Oryzias latipes: one gene and its partner. The protein of the gene in region 1 interacts with the protein of each later gene in a pairwise test. Links are inferred from orthologs where the notes say so. Each region holds a gene or a part of one and is shown in the gene's direction. Other genes may lie near its edges. The genes, in order: rchy1 and aig1.

What was found.
Region 2: the proteins of rchy1 (region 1) and aig1 interact in binary tests that used the Homo sapiens proteins (3 or more experiments, as listed by UniProt). The link is inferred for Oryzias latipes from reciprocal best matches to the Homo sapiens genes RCHY1 and AIG1.

Annotation. Positions count from the first base shown.
Region 1 is NC_019867.2:25,248,917-25,260,153, forward strand, and holds the start of rchy1 (RING finger and CHY zinc finger domain-containing protein 1), read left to right. Parts: upstream 1-5,318; 5' UTR 5,319-5,412; coding exon 5,413-5,463; intron 5,464-5,880; coding exon 5,881-6,000; intron 6,001-6,100; coding exon 6,101-6,216; intron 6,217-7,593; coding exon 7,594-7,672; intron 7,673-7,765; coding exon 7,766-7,810; intron 7,811-7,907; coding exon 7,908-7,966; intron 7,967-8,943; coding exon 8,944-8,973; intron 8,974-11,237. Other genes in the region: nucleolysin TIA-1, read right to left, coding at 549-624, 1,241-1,328, 1,466-1,520, 2,239-2,337, 2,518-2,614, 3,342-3,367. UniProt on the Homo sapiens protein: E3 ubiquitin-protein ligase that mediates ubiquitination of target proteins, including p53/TP53, TP73, HDAC1 and CDKN1B. Mediates ubiquitination and degradation of p53/TP53; preferentially acts on tetrameric p53/TP53.
Region 2 is NC_019882.2:23,470,867-23,481,547, reverse strand, and holds the end of aig1 (androgen-induced gene 1 protein), read left to right. Parts: intron 1-5,060; coding exon 5,061-5,176; intron 5,177-5,916; coding exon 5,917-6,083; intron 6,084-6,315; coding exon 6,316-6,335; 3' UTR 6,336-6,521; downstream 6,522-10,681. UniProt on the Homo sapiens protein: Hydrolyzes bioactive fatty-acid esters of hydroxy-fatty acids (FAHFAs), but not other major classes of lipids. Show a preference for FAHFAs with branching distal from the carboxylate head group of the lipids.

The DNA of each region.
Region 1 (11,237 bases):
AAAATCTGTGCCATTATTTAGGAGATAGTTACAGAGCAGCAGTCATTCTTTAACATTTTATCTCAGAGGTATGGGTGGGATCACTGGCACAGAGTAAGCCCGTCTCCACTTCCCTTCACCCATCAGTCTACACGCTCTCCTGCTAGCTTACAGCCCCTCACACCCCCAACCTAACATTAGCTGTGTAACAAAAATGGTGAGCAATATTTGAGCTATCCAGCCGGACACTTTGATCCAGATGTCAGCTCAGACTAGGAAAACAAAGACGTTCATGGGTCTATTTGTCTACAGGTGGAAGGATCAGAATGAATCAGAGCAGGGAGCTTGTGTCCAGCTGATTGTAGCTTCGATATCACAGCTTCAAGCCTTTTAAAAATGGCATTTTGTCTGCTCCTAAATTATTTGAATAAAAACTTTCTTTAGATCTCCTCCATCATCAGCAAAATTCCACAAGAACATGTTAAAAACACCATTTGGATCAGAGTGCGTGTTTAACTGGTTTCAAAATCCCAAAAAATAACACCAAACGCCAGATATTTCCTACTAACCCATTTGTTGAAGAAAGACACAAAGCCATAGCCTTTGGATTTGCCTGTAGCCATATCTTTAACAACACGAGCATCTCTGTGGAGAAAAGCATCAGAATTAGAAACACCCAGAAGAACGCAAAGAGTACATGCTAGAATTAAATAGAGACAAAGAGTTCCTGTGCAAACTAACATGCATAGCCTGTTTTATACCCAACCTACTTCTTTTTGTTTTATGAAAATTTTGTTAGCCAATTTTCAATTGCCTTGGAAACAAACCTTAGGCATGGTGTGAGACAGCTGTAAGTCACCATGAACCGTAACTGTTTAATGTCTTTAATAAAATGTATATCTCTTATGTTTTTGCTTGCATTTTCCACTGACAACCCTTTCTTTTTACAGGGTCGGTTTTTTTTGTTTCTATTTTTTTTTTCAGTGGATAAAAGGAAACAAGCATTTTCCATTCAGGAAAGATCTACCTCAATGAGCAGAGCAAACATTTAAATACTTAAGTTAATAGTTCTACTGTCAAAAACTGACTTGACATAATTGCAAAGTACTTGTATTTGTTAAAGATCAAGAGAACACAGTAAAGAATGAAAAGCACACTTTCAGGCTAGCCTTCAGAAAATAACATTTGCTTTGTATTAAATGTTGGCTAACTATTTTCTGTGCTTTACAAAGAGCACAGACTGTTCAGTCTTGTCACTTACGATATCCTTCCAAATGGGGCAAAGGCAGCTTTAACATCTTCTGTGGTGATTTCTGGACTAAGGTCTCCAACGAAAACATGAAAATGATCTATTGAGGGGGAAAAAAAAAACAATTAATCTGCTATTAAACTTAGTTTCCACGGTTTGAATGATCTCTTTTAAGTAAAGACAATGTGCTGTAGAATTCACTTCCTGCATTGGTGAAGGAATACTTGTTAAACTTACTACTCGTGTCTTTTTTCTGGCTGGTTGGTGTTGTGGCCCAGTTAACTTTGACCTCCTGCAGACAATGGCAGAAGAAAAAACAGACCAGGTGGGGGGTATGTTTACATCATTAAAAAACCTCAACTATTAACATGTTTTTAAACTAAAGTATTTGAACTGGGCTGCCCACCCAAATTAATAAATTAAACGTTTGTAATAATGCAGTCCACCGACATTGTAATCAAGGAACATTATCTAGTTCATGTAAATTTATCTGGTTTTTAATTATTATAAAATCCTATTTTTATCCCATGCAGAAGAATTGCAGATATGCTTATTTAATCTTGTTGGGTTTTTTTTTACATTCAGGCTAAAAACAGACAAACAGAAGAACCTAAATAACAGACACCTTAAAGGACTTAAAAATATATTCTATCTTACGGTACTTTGTTCTTTACAATTCCTGTGATTTTTAACCAGTTAAGTCAACAGAATACTCAAGTAAGCAGACAAATTGATTCAATGAAGTTCATTGTGTCTATAAGTTCTATTAAGCACTTAAATTATTTTTTTATCAGACACTGGGTTTGTTTTGTGTAAAACCTACCGACATGGGACGACCCTGACGAAGGTGGAAGGCATTCCGCCGAAACATGTCGGTAGGTTTTACACAAAACAAACCCAGTGTCTGATAAAAAAAATAATTTAAGTGCTTAAGCAGACAAATTCATGTATTTTTTAAATCAAAAGATTCATTTCCCATCCCCACTCACCCTGTAGATACGATAGCTTACCTTACCCATTATTTTCCTTCCATTCATGGCTGCCAGTGAAGCAGCAGCATGCCTGTGGTCATAGAACTCCACAAAACAGTATGGATCATTTCCTGCCGTCTGTTAACAGGAAACCAACACATCTCAGGTCAACACTTCAATCCCTACCGATGAGAAGACCTAAGCACTAATGCCCGGTGTGTCAGATTAAAATGACAAGAATATTTCAGGTAATGTTCACATAAATGTTCCTGTGTGTCTCCAGATCAGGACATTTGCAGTTGAAAAACCAACACTTACATCAACAATCATTTTACAGCTCTTGCAGGGTCCTATCTGTGTAAAGACCTGCAGAATGAGAGGCTCTGTGACATCCCTGGACAGATTCCCCACGTATCTACGAGGAACGAGAGAAATAAGCGACTTCAAACAGGAAGTGGCATACAAACAAAGGGTTCTATGCCGGGCTAGCAACAACCACACTAACTATCAAATACGGGTAATATAATTGGGGGGAATAATATGGCGAAGGAGGCCCATACATTACAGAATAGGGTGCACAAGACAAGACTGTACACAAGCAAGTTATGTGCGCCCCCCTTCTCAGCGGGGGTGTCCCGTGTAGATCGAGTCCGTTGACGTGGCTCACTTTTAAAGCTAGCTAAAAAACGTCGCTAACCGGTTTGAAGGGCCTCGACTCGAGCTCGCTTTAGCAGCAAAGCCGTGCTTTGTGAAACAAGACCCATTCGTCACAATGTAAATAACGAATACCACATTTAATTGCTATAGCGAGCATAATTGTTATTACAAAAAGATGAAGAAAATATGTGCAATGGTTTACATATTCAGCTAATGATAACCGGGGACTAGCTAGCTAAATATATTTCCATGCGAGTTACAGTTCCGCATTTTCAAATCTAAGTTTTTGTTAGTAGGACAAGAATATTTGTTCAATGTAATCACAATTACCTGGACTAACAGAAAAACTACCGACTGTTTTTTAAAGACATTATTACTCATTGTGTGGCAGAGTTTTAATTTAAATAATGTGGAAACGTCTGAGAAGCACGGTGAATAGACGAAGCCATTACATTCCTGGACATAGACACAGCCGCTTCACTCACAAGGTTCTAGGTTGATCGTCTTCCATCGTCAAGGTGTAGTGGTCGCGTCCGGAGAGGCTTTTAGTCCAATAACATACGAATAATTTATGTTAAACGTAAGTTAACCTAAACATAAAAAATAAATATGTACAATTTAATGATTAGTCTGTGGGCGATTTTGGTTCCACACACACCACAGAGAGCCTCAGTCTGAAGCAAACAATAGGAAGTTGAAGATGGCGGAGGAATGGCGTCAGAAGCGTCAACCTCGCTGCGCGCTAAAATGCTGCCAACATCAAGAACATTCTCTCACACCAGAAAAATGACCATAAGAATTGGTAGACTTCAACAAACCACATCTTTTTTGTGTAGACCGATAAATATTTAACTAATCGTTTAATTTAAATCAGAAAAACTGGAAATTTTAAGAGAATGTACTGCAACACAGTTATGGAGTTATTGCACCATTTTTTTTTCTTTTTTTTTTTTACGTTTTTCTACAGTTTGCGAAACGAACTAACTAAACCAACTAAACGAAAAGCAAGCCAAAATAAACAAAACGGCAGTGCGCCGCCCGGGAATCGAACCCGGGTCGCAAGAATGGGAATCTTGCATGATACCACTACACCAGCGGCGCTACGTGTGATTACCGGACGTACTGATAAAGATATACCTAGGCAAAAATGAGGTGGAAGAAAAGTCTTTGATGGGAAATATTGGAAACAAAAAATTACTTTTCTACTCGTGAACTCACAGGAATAATTGCTGACTTTTTCATACATATTCTAAGTATATGCTTCCCCATGTAGAATATATCAAACAACTTGGGTGTAAACGAGGTTTGTGGGATTTTCTAGAAGCAAAGTATTCTTGTTGTAATAAATATCAGGTTAGAATTTAATTTAAAACAAAAAATTGAGGTACAATTAAGGAGAAATCTAAAGGCGTGTTTGCTTTCACCTTCATTTTCCCCTTAACACTGACTTATTCATTTCAGTCTTTTGATAACATCATTGTTTCTGCTTTTACAGCAATATAAACATCAAAACATTGTTTTAATTAAATCTCTTGAACTACTGAAAATACTTTCTTGCCAGCCCTTTTGACACCACATCTTGGGACTTCAGTGGTTGTCTCTGCAAGTTCTGCAACCACTTGAGGGTTTCATCACTGATGCCCTAACTTTACAGAAATAAAGCAATAATATAGGGAGATTACCACATTGTACACATTTTCTTTTTTTAAAAAGTATGACTTAGAAAAAACTCTACCTAAATATTAATACATCTTTCATTGTAATAAAATTGAAAAAATTCTGTTTATTTAATTATCACAATGTTTAGTATAACTGTATCTCGTATAAGTTGCTTTTACCCAAGCAAATTTACAGTGCTTTTATTTTGGTAACATAAAATATATATAGGGAACAGTCAACATTGTCTGAGTTTTCCACAACAAAAAATTGTTCAGTACAAGAAAAAAAAATAGAATAAATGTCCCTTAACCAATACGGTTCTAAAAATATGTTTGAAGAAATAAAAGTCTGCTTATTTTCACATTTAAGAGGCCTTCTAAAAGTACACAAAAGATGCTGCACTAACAGCCAAAACAATGAAAAACGTCAGTCTTACAAACTCTTGATTAGTTTGCAGAACCATCAATACTTAAACCACTTCATTCTTTTTTATTCATCATTGCCAATTTCTGTTGTGTTTTAATAAATTTTACACACGATACAAAGACGTTTTAGTTGGACAGACTTTTTCTTTTTAGTTCTAGATCAAATTTAGTAGGAAAGCTTCTTTATTTCCCTTGAATATAAATAATACATTCAAGGGAAATATATTTTAAAATATAAATTATCTTGAGGAGGACATATACAGCATACAGTTATCTATTGACAGACGCTACGGTAATAAACTCACATCCCAGACCAGAAGGTGGCGGTAATGCGCCGTTCTGTTGTTTGCCACCCGCTGTATATATATTTAAAAAAAACTTTTAAAAAAACGTCCAACGAAGAAGAAGAAGCGAGCAACCTTCTCGCCTTCGTGGCAACGGACACTTCGAGAAGCTTGGGTTTGGAGACAGCATGGCTTCACCTGTCGGTTGTGAACATTACGTACGCGGTTGTTTGTTAAAAGTGAGTACCCGTTGTAGCCTCAGCGGAAGCAAAGCTGTATGCTAGCGTAAAATGAAACAAAGGACGGACAGGCCAGGGGGCTAACTCAACAACAACTGTAGTGGCAGACCCAGTCACCGTTTGTCCGGAGCGTTATGACAGTTTTGACAGATGGAGCTCATGTCCACTTTAAGATATTGGCAGGACGTCGAAGTTAATGGGTTCCATGTGTTTTGTTTAAAGGATATACACTTCATATTAAGTTTATGATTTTGCGACTACTGCTCTGCTGCTGCTTGTGTTCCTCAGCCGCACATTGCCACATCGTTATATAATTGTTAACCGACATTTCTTTAACGTTTCCTGAGATGCCTACCAGTTAAACCCCATCCAGATGTTGATGTTCCCCTAACGTTTGCGTGTTTTTGTGAACTCCAGGCGCCGTGCTGTGGGAAACTGTACGTGTGTCGTCTGTGCCATGATGCTCAGGAGAACCACCCGATGGATCGCTTCAAAGTCAGAGAGGTGCAGTGCTCCAAGTGTAACACCTTGCAGCAGGTAAGTTGCATAAATAAAATAAACCACCAGCTGTAGTTGATGACTTTTTATTTTTATGCACGTTACCCTAAATGTGTCCTGTTTGTGCATGCTTCTCTAGGCCCAAAAAACATGTCAGCAGTGTCAGTTACAGTTTGGGGAATATTACTGTGACATCTGCCATTTGTTTGACAAGGATAAGAAGCAGTACCACTGCCAGCCCTGTGGAATATGCAGGTAAATGTGTCATTAACGGCAAACACTCATCAACGGTTTACTAAATGGCGTATACTTATATGGCGCTTTTCTACCTTCTTCAGGGCCGTAGCGCTTTAGTCACAATCCCATTCACCCATGCACACATTCATTCACACACTGGTGGTCTCAGGAGAAAGTTAGGATTTTGTCTAATAATTAGAGGTGTAGCGACTGATCGACTTAATCAGTGAATCAATTTATATTCCTAATATCCAACAAGATCGATCTGTCTGAGGCAACAAATCGACTTAAACCACTATGAAACTGTTGAAAAATGAAACATACCCATAATATCTATTGAAAAAAATCTCTGTCTTTCTCTGTATCTGAAGATATTTGCATGCTTTGGATTTATCGATCGATGTTGTTCTGGCTGTTTTCAGAAACACTTTATTTTTAAAAATCTATACTTGATCCTAATTCTTTTGCTGTATGTTAAAAAGCTCAAGTACAATGGGATTGTCTGGTAAAAGAAAAGTTGTGCATTTCTAATGAAGAAACAAACAGGAAATCTAAACAGTTGCAGGGGAAACGTGAGTTATCGGTATCGGCTGGAAAAAATTATAACCGCCCATCCCTAGAAGAGACACCACAGAAGAGGCTGATTGACAAAACCAACAAGTCACAGTGAAAAAGAATCAATAAAACAGCGAGACAGCGAAATATAGCGAAGGAACACCACCGGTAGTGATAATATTCTCCTAAAGTTTGGTACATCAGAGGAGGAACGATGCAGGCAGCGCCATGAACAGGCAAAGCCCACGCCATGTAAAATTAGGGTCAGCAGCGAAAAGTCTGGATTGAAAATTTTAACTGAGGTCTAAAAGCAAAGAGGGGAAGAACCAAAAAAAAAAACAGACGTTGAAAAGAAAAAAAGGCTGCTGTTAGAAATAAACATAATTTTCAGGTTTAAAGTTGTTTTTTAAAAGTCAAATTTACTTTTTTGACAAATTTTCAATAATTCTTTCAACTTTGTTTTGGTCAAAGTCATAATTTCTTTGTTTGTTTTTTTTCAAATTTTTAATAATTCCTTGAAGTATACAAAATGTACTTTCAAGTCTTAATACAGTTTTCAAGTTTTCCTTCTCTTCAAATTTACAAAATGGGTTTTCATTCAGTTTATGCTGTTCCCAATTTCCCTCCATAAAAAATGTCCTGGATGGAGTTTTAGGTCAGTGAATCAGTTCGTTCAAAATGAAACGATATCACCTATGAATCATATCAGCAACCACAAATTCTGATATGAATCAAATTGTTAAAATTAATCTTTAAACCCCTAATAATAGTTCATTTTTTCTTTTTTATCCAGTTACCCACTAACAGATGAGTAAACTATGTGTGTTCTGGTATTGGCAGGATTGGACCCAGTGAGAAGTACTTCCATTGTGACAAGTGCAATTTGTGTCTGGCCCAGGATCTGAGAGGAAACCACAGAGTGATTATGATTATTCACCTCCTTCTGATTCACTCTAATGGAAGAAGTTCTCACTTTGTTTTACTGACTTTGGTTTTTTTTGATTACTTTCAGTGTGTCGAAAATGTCTCTAGGCAGAACTGTCCGGTTTGTATGGAGGTATGAAACCTTAAAGTACATGTAAAACTAATATTGGATTTTCGTCTTTATTTGAGCCCAACTGTTTTTTTTTTGTTTGTTTTCTCTTTGTCAAAAGGATATTCACACGTCCAGGATCGGTGCTCATGTCCTTCCATGTGGCCATCTTTTACACAAGTGAGGCGACTTTTCTTTTCTGTTGGCTTAGGTTTATGTGTGTTAACTGCAAATAACAGTTTACAGACGAGCTGCAATGATTTCAAGCTATTTTATAAATACTTTAAACAGATTTCCTTTTAGAAGCACACAAATTAACACCACCAATGAGTTGAAGTGTCTAAAAAACTTGTCAACTCTTTTGAAAAGTAATAAATCCAGAAAATATAAATTTATTTTTTATCGAAAATGTGCTTTTTACTTTGAGATGACTGTAAACAGCAAAAAAACTTTGCTGTATTTGTGCTACTGACATATATTAGAAACTTTTTTTTTGCATTTTAAATGTGTTTATCACTTGACGAATGTGAGTAGTAAACAGATGTAAGAAAAAGTACCCGAAGCTTTTGGATATTATGGGTTTGTGCAAGAATCAGACAGACGGTTTGTTCTTGTCTTCACCTCCAACAATAGAAACAGAACAGTCTCTCTAAACTAAACACAGACAGGTGCTTTTATTGAACAAAAAAATATATATTCACAATAGTCTGTGAGAAAAGTATGTGAACCCATAATTACTTCTCCAAGAACTAATCAGACCAGGAGATGGGAAACCTGGAGTCCACTCAATGGGATGAGGTTAGATTTGGTTAAGGTCATGGCTCCCAAAAGAGGTTTAAAAGCATTTGCTTAACAAGCTATTTGTTCTGTGAATGTTTACATATTGTGTTTGATAAAAGCAGAAAAGACTAAATGCCTGTGTGGTATTAGTTTGGGCAGATTGTAATTTTCTGTTCTAATCATTTGTTTGTCTTTTCAAGTTAGATAAAACTGCAGGAAAGCCCAAAGGGTTCATATACTTTGATTTTCTTACAACATTACTTCCTGAGCTCTAAACTACAGCCTGTGTCATCAAGACTGGTGTCTTCAGATTAAAAACATCTGTGGTTAAGTCAAGCGGTTCCATCTTGACCTCTTGTCTTTGGTTTTCTTGACAGGACTTGCTTCGATGACATGGTCAAAACAGGGTGAGTGTAATAAACTTTTATCTGCTGGAATTTGTTTTGGTTTTTTTTTCATGTTTAAATCCAGTTTTCTTTCTGAATCTGGTTTCTTATTGGAAAATGGTAAAAAATAAATAAATGACATAGTGGTGAACAGTAGGGGTGCAACAGATCCCAAAATGCCCGGTTCGGATAATGTCACAGTTTTAGAGTCACACTTCGGATCATTTTTTGGATCAGTAAGATGGAAAAAAACAAAATAAAAGTTTACAATTATTATTTCTTTAAATGTATTATAGCATTAAAATATTTGATCATTGAGGCATTATTAAAAAACAAAAAACATTAATGAGATATTTGAACTCAAGACAGGGCTCCAGACTAACTTTTTTCACTAGGAGCACAGTGGCCCCCAACTGAAAATTTTAGGGGCACAACCAGAAAATTTAGGGGCGCATAACGTAAATCAACATTCTAACCAAATCTACTAATTTCCACTGTATTACTAATAAATACTTTTATAATAGATGCAGAAATTAAAATGTGCTGTTTTAAATTCAGTGTCACATTTTATTCTGCACTTTTGAAGATGCAACAACAAGGTAAACTGACAGCACCATCGCTGTCATGACAGTACAAATAGTTAAGAAAACAGATGGAAATTTATCTTGGTGACACCAAATAGGTGCAGCCAAGATGCACAATAAGCGTGTTTGAGATCACCCAGGTGAACTCAACGCTGCGCAGATCACCTGGGGCCTGTTTCACAAAGGAGGTTCAACCAACTCTGAGGTCAAACCTGAACTCTGAGTTGGTCAATCGAGAGATTGACAACTCTGAGTTTTCAGTTTCAGAGCAGCTGATCCGCGTTAGATCAATCAACTCTGAGTGGACTGATTCGGAGGTGAGCGTGCGCACCGCGTCTATAAGAAGCCATTATCAATGGAGCGCAGATATCACGAGTCACCATGGCAACCGTGAAAACAAAGAGGTCTGCGTATTTTTCGCCAGCTGAACTTGACGTGCTGCTGCAGAGTTGCAGTGAATATGAGAACATATTCCAGAAGAAAAGCAACACCGCTGCATCTGCAAAACAGAGACAGTTAGCGTGGGAAAACATAGCTGCTCAAGTTAATGCCTAAGTTTGCATTTAAATCATTGTTATAAATATTGACTGTAATAACTTTTTAAATAGCGTAAGGTGTGAAATAAAAAATGGTGATATTTAGGAGTACTTTTGAAGTGTTATTCCTGGTGTAAATGCATGAAATGCTGCATAGTGTACAGAACCAATCTGGGGGAAAATGCATTTAACGTCGGTAATGTTTAGAGGACTTTTTTGTTAACCTTCCCCTCTAGCAAACGTTGGTCATTTTAATATTAATACATGCAATTGTGTTTTTAAAAGTGAACTTTTGTCTACTGTTGAACCTTTCGCTGCGCAAAGACTTCCTTCTTTTCTCTCGTCTTTCCGACCGTGGTCAAAAGCGCAGGGGAGATTTCCTTCAGGGCTGAAGGGAATTCTCCTTCGGGGTTCACTTCCCGTTGGAAACCCTCAACCTCCAGAGCGGAATAAGAATGACTCCAAAACAGTTATTCTGGGAATGACACCTTCTCCGTCCTCCTCATCCGTGCTCACCCCACCCCCCCCCATCTGCACCTGCAATCGCCCCTCCCCTTGTCTCTCGTGGATTGCACCCCGCTCAGCACACACACGCTGCAACACTACCCCTGTATTGATCAAGTGGTATAGGTTTATATGGGATTAAGAAAGTAAGCAGTGCTAGAAAATTGTGTTTCCAAAAAGTAATTGTTACATTAATCTAATTCAATGTCCCTGATTTCATTTTCATGTAGATGCAATCCTGCAGGAATTAAAAGAAACATGGCAGCAGCTAAAAATGAAGTATAAAAACATAATTCAATCAGGTCAAATGTGAGCATGTCATGGATGTAGGCTTTGTTGACAATATTTGACATATGAAACATCTACATAGCAAGACCTAATGTTGTTTTCATTTTGTATATGTAATTGACTGCAACGAAAAACGGTAACGCTCAAACAAAAACGTATGGGGAAATGACAAAACATCGAGTCGAGGTCTCAAAATCCTCGTACGACGTAAATGTAATTCTCTACGAATTAATGCAGCCTCCTCATCTATTGGGTCCTCCAAAAAAGGACAAGCCATTCTTGTCACTTAGATCGCGTGACGGAAATGTGGGCAATGAAGGTTGAAGCCAAATATAGTGCTTCGTCTTTAAAAAGGGGAGGGGACCGGCAAAAA
Region 2 (10,681 bases), on another chromosome or scaffold:
CAAGCTTTATGCTTTGTGGTTGTTTGTGGTCAAAGCATTCCTCACTTTAGATGAGGTACTGCAAAAAAATGTATAAACTGTTAACAAAGTTAATTAATACATTTATTAAGCTTATAACCAGTTTAGTAATATGGATTTTGAAGACAATGGTCTGACTTTAGATGTTAGTAAATCTTATTAACACTTTCAGGTATTTGCAAGACATCTATAATGCTTATAAATATCTTAGTAGCATCTCACACATTAATAAAGCCTATTATTTGTTAAGTTAGTTAATAAAACTTATGAAGCCTATTAACACTTAGGCTTGCGTGAGACATTTATAATGCTAATAAATGTCATACTAGAACCCCAAACAATAATAATACTTCTTAATTTATTAACAAAGGTTGTTAATAAATGTTATTAAGTTTATTAACACTTACACATTTGTTAGGCACCTATAATGTCAAGAAATGTATCATTAGCATCTTAAAATCATCCTAAAAATAATGCTTGTAAATGTTTTAACTAAGTAATTTAATTAACCTTATTGAGCCGGTTTAGCTCGTGCTGGTTTGCGGCGCCTTCCGTCCGTGAAACCAGGGTTCAAATCCGGGCTGCTCCCTGTTCCCTTCTCTACTTCTGTGCCGGTCCCAAGCCTGTTTGCTTTGAGAAGGTTGCGTCAGGAAGGGCATCCGGCGTAAAACATTGCCAAGTTTACCATGCGACTAGTTCGCTGTGGCGACCCCTGTTGGGAAAAGCCGAAAGAGAAAGAAGAATTTAATTAACCTTATTAGACTTATTGCTAATAAATGTCTTACTAACAGCCTAAAAATTCTATTATAATGCTTTTTAATGTGTTAACAAAGCTTGTTTTTTTTGTTTTTTTTTAACAAAGCTTGTTAAGGAATCTTAATATGAAGTATTACCGGAAACTATAACCTTAACTATGTGAACAAAGTAAACAAAAAAGGTGGAGGAGTCGCAATTTATGTTAAAAAAATACAAAGTTTACAGAAATTGATAAATTGTCAGTTGAAGTAGTTGGAATACTGGAATGCCTTACAATTCAAATATTAAACCAATCAGGGAAAAATGTCATCATAAGCTGTGTTTCTAGGTCGCCAGGGTCAAGCTTAGAAGTGTTCAGTGACTGGATGGAAAAGATGTTTAGCTCTCTAAATAACAAAATATTATACATCTGTGGAGATTTCAATATGGATCTGATAAACCCCAGCAAACATAAAGCCACCGACGACTTTATCAGCAGAATGTATGGAATGAGTTTCTATCCAACCATAACAAGACCCAGCAGAATCACTACTCAAAGTACTACTCTAATTGATAAGATATGTAAGGGTTAATGGCCGACGAAGTGTGGGTTATTACTTTCTTTTTTTTTTTTTTTTTTTTTTTTTAACTTGTCCTGTCCAACAGCTAGGCAGACAGATGAGAGCTGAGGGCCTCTTGTGTTGGACATATTTTACTTTAACAAGAGGGGTTATTAATCTTCTGACAAACCAAAGGTGTGACTGAACAAACCCCTTTTGTAATTGAGGCCAAACTTTATTCATTTCAACCATGATTGAAAATCTTTGGTGTTGGACCGGACGGAAAAGGAAAGAAGGGAAGAAGAGGGAGGGATGTCAGAGGGGGGGGTGATAGTGAGAGGGGGGGGTAAGACCATGAAGCAGCATAGAGCAGACAGGTTTACTGGTTGTTTATCGTTACGGTACAGTTCCAATGTAGTACAAAAAGGGCGGGGCCTGTTCACACACACTCAAATATTATCAACACACCTGCTAGCTGCAAGAAATGTTCACATGTCAACATGAACACAAAACAGATAGTGTTCACACACGCATACTTATGCCTTAAAACCAACTAGTGTGAAATCTTTCATTCATTCAATCATGCAAACTATTAGTGCAAAGGTGAGCTAACACCTGTGCTCAGGTGAGTGTTTATGTTCTTCTAAAATGGATGGTGGAATGTGAAAAGAAGGAGGAGGAGCGCCCAGCCACCCCCACACCCAGACCCCCGCCGCAGCAGCAGCGGCAGCGGCAGCCGGAATTCCCCCAACGCCACACGGGAACAGGCAGGGAACAACCGCCCCCTGGGCGACCAAGACCGCCACCCAGGCCAGGGCCAGCAGGACCGCCGCGTGGCCCCCAGAGCCAGAGAGCAGGGAGGCGCGGAGGGAAAGAGAGCGCCGCCCCAGCCCAGCCAGGAAAGCAGCCCCCCCCCGCCGCGCCGGAAGAGCCCAACGCAGGGCCCCACCGGAGAAGGACGCCCACAGCCCCAGACGAGCACCCCACCACCACCCAGGAGTTCCGGGCATCCCCCCGCCCCAACCCCAGGTACGAGCCAGGACCCCCCAAGGGAGACCCGCTCCGCACTCCAGGCAGCCACCCACCCGGCCCACGGTTGGTCCAGGGAGGAGCAAGGCAGGGGCCCGCCGCCCCCGCCCAGGAGGGGGGAACCCCGGGGAAAAAAGTGTGGCCCACAAGGGGTGTTATAAATATGGCCCGACCAGGCTCGGCCATGTTGGAAGTTTGGCGGGGCCCAGCGCTCAGGGGCAAGGACCAGGACCCAGGGACACGAACACCCCCGGTTCAGGTGTAATATGAACCCCCCCACCGTGCGGAGAGAGCACCGCCGGGCCCAGGGAGCCGGCACCCAAGGGACACGGCCGCCATCGCCAAGGGGCCCGCACCCCCCACCAGGGAAGGGTTAGGGGACAGATGGACCCAGGTCCCCCTCTTCCTTGCAAAATGTGTGTGCGTGTATGTGTGTTTGAGAGGGTGTGTGTGTGCATGTGTGTGTGATTATGTTGGAATGTATATATTGAAGGGGGAGGGGTGTGTGTACTAAGGGGGGTGCAGTTAAAATTGGCGAGTAGGGCACTAAGGGGACATCTCCTGATTACTCACAGTGATGTCCCCCCACCCTCCCCACCAAGGGGCCCTAAATGTCTAAGGTGCGGTTAAAATTGGTGGGTAGGGTGCCAGGAGGACATCTGCTGCTTGCTTGCAGTGATGTCCAAGCACCCCCCCCTACCAAGGACCCTACATGTCTAAGGTGCAAATAAAACCGAAAGAGGGGGGGCCCACTCCATACGGCAACCATAGGAGGGGGGCCACTGCCAAGTAACCCCCCCCCCCCCCCCCCCCAAGGCGCATCGCAGACTAGACCCCCCACCCCCTCACCCTAATATGAGGTTATATGAGGAAGGGGGTAAGTTGGGGACAGCTGGTCGACTGTGCCCCGGTGGTCAAACAGCTGTCCCCCAGCCCCCGCCCCCCCCCCCCCCCCCCCCAGCAAAGGGGCCAGGGCCACCCAGCCCAGGGGCCCCACCCCCGGAGGCGCCGACACCCCAAGCCCGGCACCACCCACCCCACACAGAGAGAGAGGAGCCAGAAAGCGTCGCCCCCCCCCCCCGGAGCAAGCCCAGGCCCCCACCCCCAGACGCCGGCCCTAGAGGAGCTCTGGTCAGGCCTTGGCGGGACCGAGGAGGCCAACCGGCCGAGGCAACCACTGATTGCCTCAGCGGAGACCCCGACCCGCTAGCCCCCCCGATCCGTACCAATAATGCCCCCCCCCCTCCCCCCCAGAACGCCCCCCCACAGGACAGGGCCGACAAGCCCCCCACCCCACACCACCCCGGACCCCCAGACCCCTTTCTAACGCACGCCGTGGAAGCCTATTGCTTCCGCAAAGTGCGTTAAAAAGTAATAATGCACACTTTGAAGGCCATTAACCCACTTATACCATGGTCACTTACAAAAGTAATACATATTAACCAGTTTTTAGTCCTTTATTCTTGTTTTTTCCCCGATTTGGATCGCTTTTCTCACAAAAGGCGGACTATTTGTTACGTGATGCGGCGCATAGATGTTACTCATTATGTAACGTCTAAATAAGCTCTGTGCTTGGAGCGGAACAACTGGACCCAAACGGCCACCGTAGCCGGTCGTCACATGATGTAAACAGATTAGGAAAGTAGCAACCAAGCCACAGACAAATGTAAAGCAACAATTGTCATATTTTTGAAGAGGAAAAAGGAGTCCAACTGTTTATTTGTTAGAATGTTTATTTTAACACGGCTGAAAACGTTTCTTACATGCTTTTTGGTGTCTCGTTATGAGGCATGCACCCTGTGCTGCTGTGACATCACCCTAAAAGCTACCTCGTAGTTCCTTAACAAGACAATGCCATAAAACCACAACAGATTAACCGGAGACAGGTCCATGGTTTTTTTTGCACGGTGGCGCAGTGGTTAGCGCTCTTGCCTCACAGCAAGAAGGCCTCCGGTTCAAGTCCCGGCTGGGGGACATGAAAAAACTACATCAACAGGGGACCTTTCTGTGTGGAGTTTGCATGTTCTCCCCGTGCATGAGTGGGTTTTCTCCGGGATCTCCGGCTTCCTCCCACCGTCCAAAAACATGCTACAAAGGTTGATTGGCAACTCTAAATTGTCCATAGGTGTGAGTGTGAGAGTGAATGGATGTGTGATTGAGGATATTCTACCCTGCGACAGACTGGCGACCAGTCCAGGGCATCCCTTGCCTACGCCCAAGTGGCCGGGATAGACTCCGGCAACCCGGTGACCCTGAAAGGGAATAAACGGTTAAGAAGATGAAAAAAAAGATCCATGGTTTGTCTCATTTTTTATTTTATTTTTCAGCTTTCTGCAAGGAAAACTAGTAGCTCTTCAGTGTGAGTTTTGCCGCGCCGTGGGTGGGAGTAGTGGGGCGATGGGGGGGTAGAGGTGGAGCACCAGGAGGGAGGGGTGTGGCACCTGTCACATTAAATTAGATGAAAAGGGTCTCCAGTTTGGGGGGAGGGGGGGGGCACACCTGTTACCAGTCAAAGTTTGATTTTCTCTCTGATGTCTTTGAGTCACTGGCTTTCCTCTACTGACTGCTTCCTGTTTGTTCTGTGTTCCTCGGCTTATGCTCACCTTTTGGATCTGCTTTGCTGACTGTTTGTCTTTGTTTGTAGTGAAGTTTGCCAACAGAAACCACTTCTACTGTGTTTTCTGAAAAATCCTTCTCCATTTCCCCTTCTCCTCCCAGCATACCACCGTTCTGCCTTTTGTTATCATCGAGATGAGGACGACTCACCACAAGTATCCCAGAAGGCTGTGGGGTCTGGTGGCAGTATGTGTCTTCAGCATGGCCTACATCAGCTGGTAAGGAGTTTCTTCCACATTTCCACCCAGAAGCCAGGACTGGATGATCACATTTACTGAAGTGAAGTCTGCTGCACTTTACTGTTTTGTTGTTCCTCACACTGTTGTGAAAAATGCTGAAATTGAGTTCACATGTAAATGTCCAACTGGTGCATCTAATGCAGTGTTTCCAAAGCCTGGTCTTAAGGCCACTGTCCATGCTTCCTTCTCAAACACACTTTATGTAGCCTATCATCCACCAATGCAGAGACCTTAAAGCAGCCATTGTGAGGATTGTGAATTTCTGTTTGGTTTTCGTCATGATCTGTTTTGAGTTGTCCCACAGTCACACCAGTTTTAGCTTTGCCACGATTCACAGCTGTCTTCATTTCAGTTAATTGCCCTCAGTCTGTTCAAGTGGTTTTCAGTTCTTACTTGTCAGGTCATCTGTTCTGTTCTAGTCTGCTTTGTCACCCTTTTTGATGCTCCCATGGTTTTGTCATGTTTTAGTTTATGTATCAAATGTTTTAGTTTCTGTCACCAAACCTGGTCTCCTGCATTTTTGGTGGTTCTACACCACCAGTTCCTGACGTGTTTGGGCTGCATAACAAGGAGAACCTGAGAACCAAGGTTCACAAACACTGAGCTGTGTTTGTGATGTGATCCAGACTATTTCATAATTTTAGTTTAACATGCAACCACCCCCACCACCACTAACAAGTCTGTATGAAACACTGACACAGAGCTATGTCTGCTTTCAGGACCTGCTGGGTGCACCATGTGACTGGTGTGTGGGTGTACCCAGTTCTGGAGCGCGTCTCCTCCATTGCTCGAGCTGCTTTCTTCGGGACCATGACACTATTGATCTTCATTCTCTACGTCCTGGGGGAGATCCTCAACAGCTACATTTGGGAACAGCCACAAAAAGGCATGCATATGGCAACAGCAGCAGAGACTGGCTGAGCTTTAAGTTCAAAGAACATACACGTGCATAAACACGCACATGTACAAAGACATTCAGACACACACACAGGTCTGCAAGTAACCTAAAATCTTTGTCTTGTTAGATTTTATGGACAGTGTAAAACAAGAACATATCAATCACACTTTGCTCGTTTTGCAGTGTCTTATTTTTCATTTTTCTTTTGTGTCTTTTACAGAAAAGGTTAAAGATGAGTGAAGCCTCCCCGAAAGCAACAAAGGAAGACAAGTTTCGCCCACTCGGGACTGCAAGAACAAAGCCAAATGTGCAAGATGTTTATAATCCAAAAAACTAAAACAGAAAAAGAACTGTTTTTTTCTCCAGGAGTCTCTGCATCAACATAAATACATGTTGTAAGCGCATAAATACAATGGGGAAAAAATATTTGATTCTCTAATGATATTTTCATATTGAATCTGCATGCTGTCTAAAGATTAGAAAAGTATCCAATGCTCATAGATACACTGTCAGAGACAGAATTTTAAAAGAATCCAGGAAATCACATTCTTTGATTTTTAAAGAATTTATTCTTATAATAGTGCAGAAAATAGGTATTTATCTCCTAAAACCTAACAAGAACCGACAACAAGCTTCTCACAGACCTATTGCTTATTCTTTTAAGTCCCACGCCAATCATCTTTTGATCTATTTTAAATTTGTTCCTAGAGGTCTTTTAATTATGATTGTGACGTTTTTAGCCTAAATTAGAAAAAACTGTTGTTGCTTTTCATCAGTTATTGCGGAGCGGTAGTAGTTCATTAGAAATCAGAGTTGTAGGCAGAAAGTAAGCCCGCCCCTACTTCAGTCCCTCACACTCCTTAGGCTAAAATTTGTGGTGCAACAAAAATGGCGAGCAATATTGGAACTACCCAGCCAGCCAGTTTTGAGCTAGATGCAGCTCAGACAACAAAATGGAAGACGTACATGGATCAGTTGGTCTGACAGTGGATGCATCTGAATGGAGCAGGGCAGAGAGCTTGTGACTCGCGGTTGTAGCTACTACGTCACAGCTACGAGCTTTTCGAAATGGCATTTTTTCGTCTGCTCCTGATTGTCAACAATTTGAACAAAGAAATATCCTGAAATAGGTTTTCAAGCTCAACATTTTCTTTATGTGTGTCCTACATTATTTTTTATTTTTATTTTTTTTATACACTGTATTTTATCCCACGAAGGGAAATTCTGTCTCCGCATTTGACCCATCCCCCTGGGGAGCGGTGAGCTGCAGCCGAAACCGCGCTCGGGAGGCAGTAGCGTTAAGGGTCTTGCCTAAGGACCCTCACTGGGTGATGTTAACTGCTCGCCATTGATATGGTATTTGCCCCCAGTACCATTGCTCATTCCCCTCCGGGAATCAAACCCTGGTTTCCTGCATGGTAGCTTCCCACCTTACCAACCGAGCTACCCAGCCGCAATTTTTTATCCCCCTTCGTGGGATAAAAAATACATTATGAGAAAAATGCCACAAAAACCTGTTAAAATGACCAGAAACACAATTTCCATTTGCATGGGTCTTTAAAGACCCATTCAATCTGTCCCGTGTTATCTCTATAAATGGCCCCTGTCTACACTTAAAGGGCCTATACCATGCAAAATCTTTTTTTGAGCTTTTAAGTGTAATGTTAATTCCTCACTAAAAACAACCCCAAAGTAGTATTTTGATCCATTCACGGATTTCTGAGTTTTCCTCTAAAAACCTGCTCTCTGAGCACCAGGCCCCCCCGTCCATGAAAATGAGTTCTCACGAGCTGACCAGTCAGAAAACAGCACCTTCCAGAAAGAGTCTGCACTGCCAGCACCGCCCCCAGGCTAACTGACACACCCACTTTCTCCATGGAGCTGGTGGTGATCAGCTAAACACGTTCCTTCTACATGCACAATGTGCACATTCATCTTTGCAAAAGTTCAGATGTTGTTGGTTTTCATGGACAAAAACGCAGACATGTTGCCAAGGCCGACTCTAGCACTGGGTGGCACCCACAAGGACAGAAAGGGGAGCCTTAGAGATTGAGGAGTCCTTGGGGACAGCTGTTTGACCACCGGGGGACAGTCTACCAGCTGTCCCCAACTTGCCCCCTTCCTCATATAACCACATATTAGGGTGAGGGGGTGGGGGGTTTAGCCTGCGATACGCCTTGGGGGGGGGGGGGGGGGGCTACTTGGCAGTGGTCCCCCTCCCATGGTTGCCGTATGGAGTGGGCCCCCCCTCTTTCGGTTTTATTTGCACCTTAGACATGTAGGGCCCTTGGTAGGGGGGGTGCTTGGACATCACTGCCAGCAAGCAGCAGATGTCGTCCTAGCACCCTACCCGCCAATTTTAACTGCACCTTAGACATTTAGGGCCCCTTGGTGGGGAGGGTGAGTGGACATCACTGTGAGTAATCAGGAGATGTCCCCTCAGTGCCCTACCCGCCAATTTTAACTGCACCCCCCTTAGTACACACACCCGTCCCCCCTCAAAATATACATTCCAACACAAACACACACACATGCACACACATTTTGCAAGGAAGGTGGGACTTAGGACCATCTGTCCCCTACCCCTTCCCTGGTGGGGGGTACGGGGCCCTTGGCAACGGCGGCCGTGTCCCCTCCTGGGCCCGGCAGTGCTCTCTCCGCGCAGGGAGAGGGTTCACATTACACCTGAGCCGGTGGTTCTGGTCCTTGCCCCTGAGCGCTGGGCCTCGCAAAATTTCCAACTGTGGCCGAGCCTGGTCGGGCCATGTTTACAACACCCCTTGTGGGCCCCCCTTTTCCCCGGGGTGCTCCCCTCCTAGGCGGGGGCGGCTGGCCCCTGCCTTGCTCCTCCTTGGACCAACCGTGGGCCGGGTGGGTGGCTGCCTGGAGTGCGGAGCATGTGGACATTTTTGCAGCTAGCAGGTGTGTTGATAACATTTGAGTGTGTGTGTGGACAGGCCCCGCCCTTTTTATACTACATTTGAACCTTACCGTAATGATAAACAACCAGTAAACTTGTTGCTTTATGCTGCTTCATGGTCTTATCCCCCCCTCCTATTATCACCCTCCTACCCCCTCCCCCCCCCCCTCTCTCTAACATCCCCCTCTCTTCTTCCCTTCTTTCCTTTTCCGTCCGGTCCAACACCAAAGATTTTCAAACATGATTGAAATTAATAAAGTTGGCCTCAATTACAAAAGGGGTTTATTCAGTTTACTATGAAATGCTTAAGAAAAGCATGATAAAGGCCCTTCAAAGAGTCACACTGCAACCTCTCCTGCCGTGACCAAGACCAAAGAGCTGTCTAAGGAACCGGGGACAAGAGCATATACCTATCAAGATTGGCACGGACTACCGTAATATACAAGAAGCAACAACTTGGTGAGCAGAGATAAAATGTTGGAGGAATTATGAGAAAAGGAAAAAAACAAAAAACAATCTCTCTCCACCTGAAGCTCCATGCAAGATCTCATCTGGTGGGGTACAAATTATCTAGAGAACAACACGGAAATAGGGTAGAGGCTTCGTTAATTGTCAGAATTAACAAAGCCTCTTGGATAAGAAGTGAAACGTCTTCTAACTTTAAAAACTAAGTCCAGATGACAGCCCCTAAACCTACTACTACGATGTTCTTGCCTATCCAAATTTATTCAAGTTATAAACTGACCAATCAGTGGCTTCAGTAAAAGAAGGAAGTAAAAAATGCAACGGATTGTTGATGTGTAGAGGTCAATCAAATATGCAAGCCCCCACTGACCAAAGATACTTTCATTGAATCCACAACAAAGAGGCTAATAGCTCTGTTTTTGCTAATGTAAGTATCATTGTCTTTTTATTCATCCATCTTCTAAACCCGTTTGTCCCTTTTGGGTCGCGGGGCTGCCGGAGCCTATACCGGACATCCCCGGATGTCCCCTGCCTAGTCTGTTAGGGCCACAAATTACACACCCACAACACCGGGAGCCGGGCATCACGTCACAGCCTGGGGGTGTCTGTGTCACTGTGGTGTGGGCTCTGGCCCTTATCTCGAGCACCAGCCTTCTCCAAAGTTTCAACTGTGGGTTTGCCTGGTCGGGCCCTGTTTACAACACTACTTGTGGACCCTCACTTGTCTTGGGTGTCGTCCTCCTGGTGAGGGGTGGCTGGCCCCTGCCTTGCTCTCTCCTGGACCAACCGTGGGCTGGGTGGGTGGCTACCTGAAGCGTGGGTCGGGATTCTCTTGGGGGGCTTGGCTTGTGCCTGGGGTTGGGGTGGGGGATGCTCGTCTAAGGCTCGGGGTGCCCTCCTGGGTGAGGCCCCACGTTGGGCCCTCCTGGCACGGCGGGGGGGCTGCTCTCCTGGTTGGGCTGGGGCTTGCACTCTCTGTCCCCCCCATGCCTCCCTGCTCTCTGGCATTGGCCCCTGTGGCGGTCCTGCTGGCCCTGGCCGCGGTGGCTGATGTGATTTCCCGGTGGGCGGTTGTTCTTTATGTGCTACCGTGCGGGTGTTGGGGGGTCCTGGCTGCCACTGTTGCTGCGGTGGGGGCCTTCTTTTTACACTCCATCATCCACCTTAGAAGAACATAAACACTCACTCAGGCACATGGCCC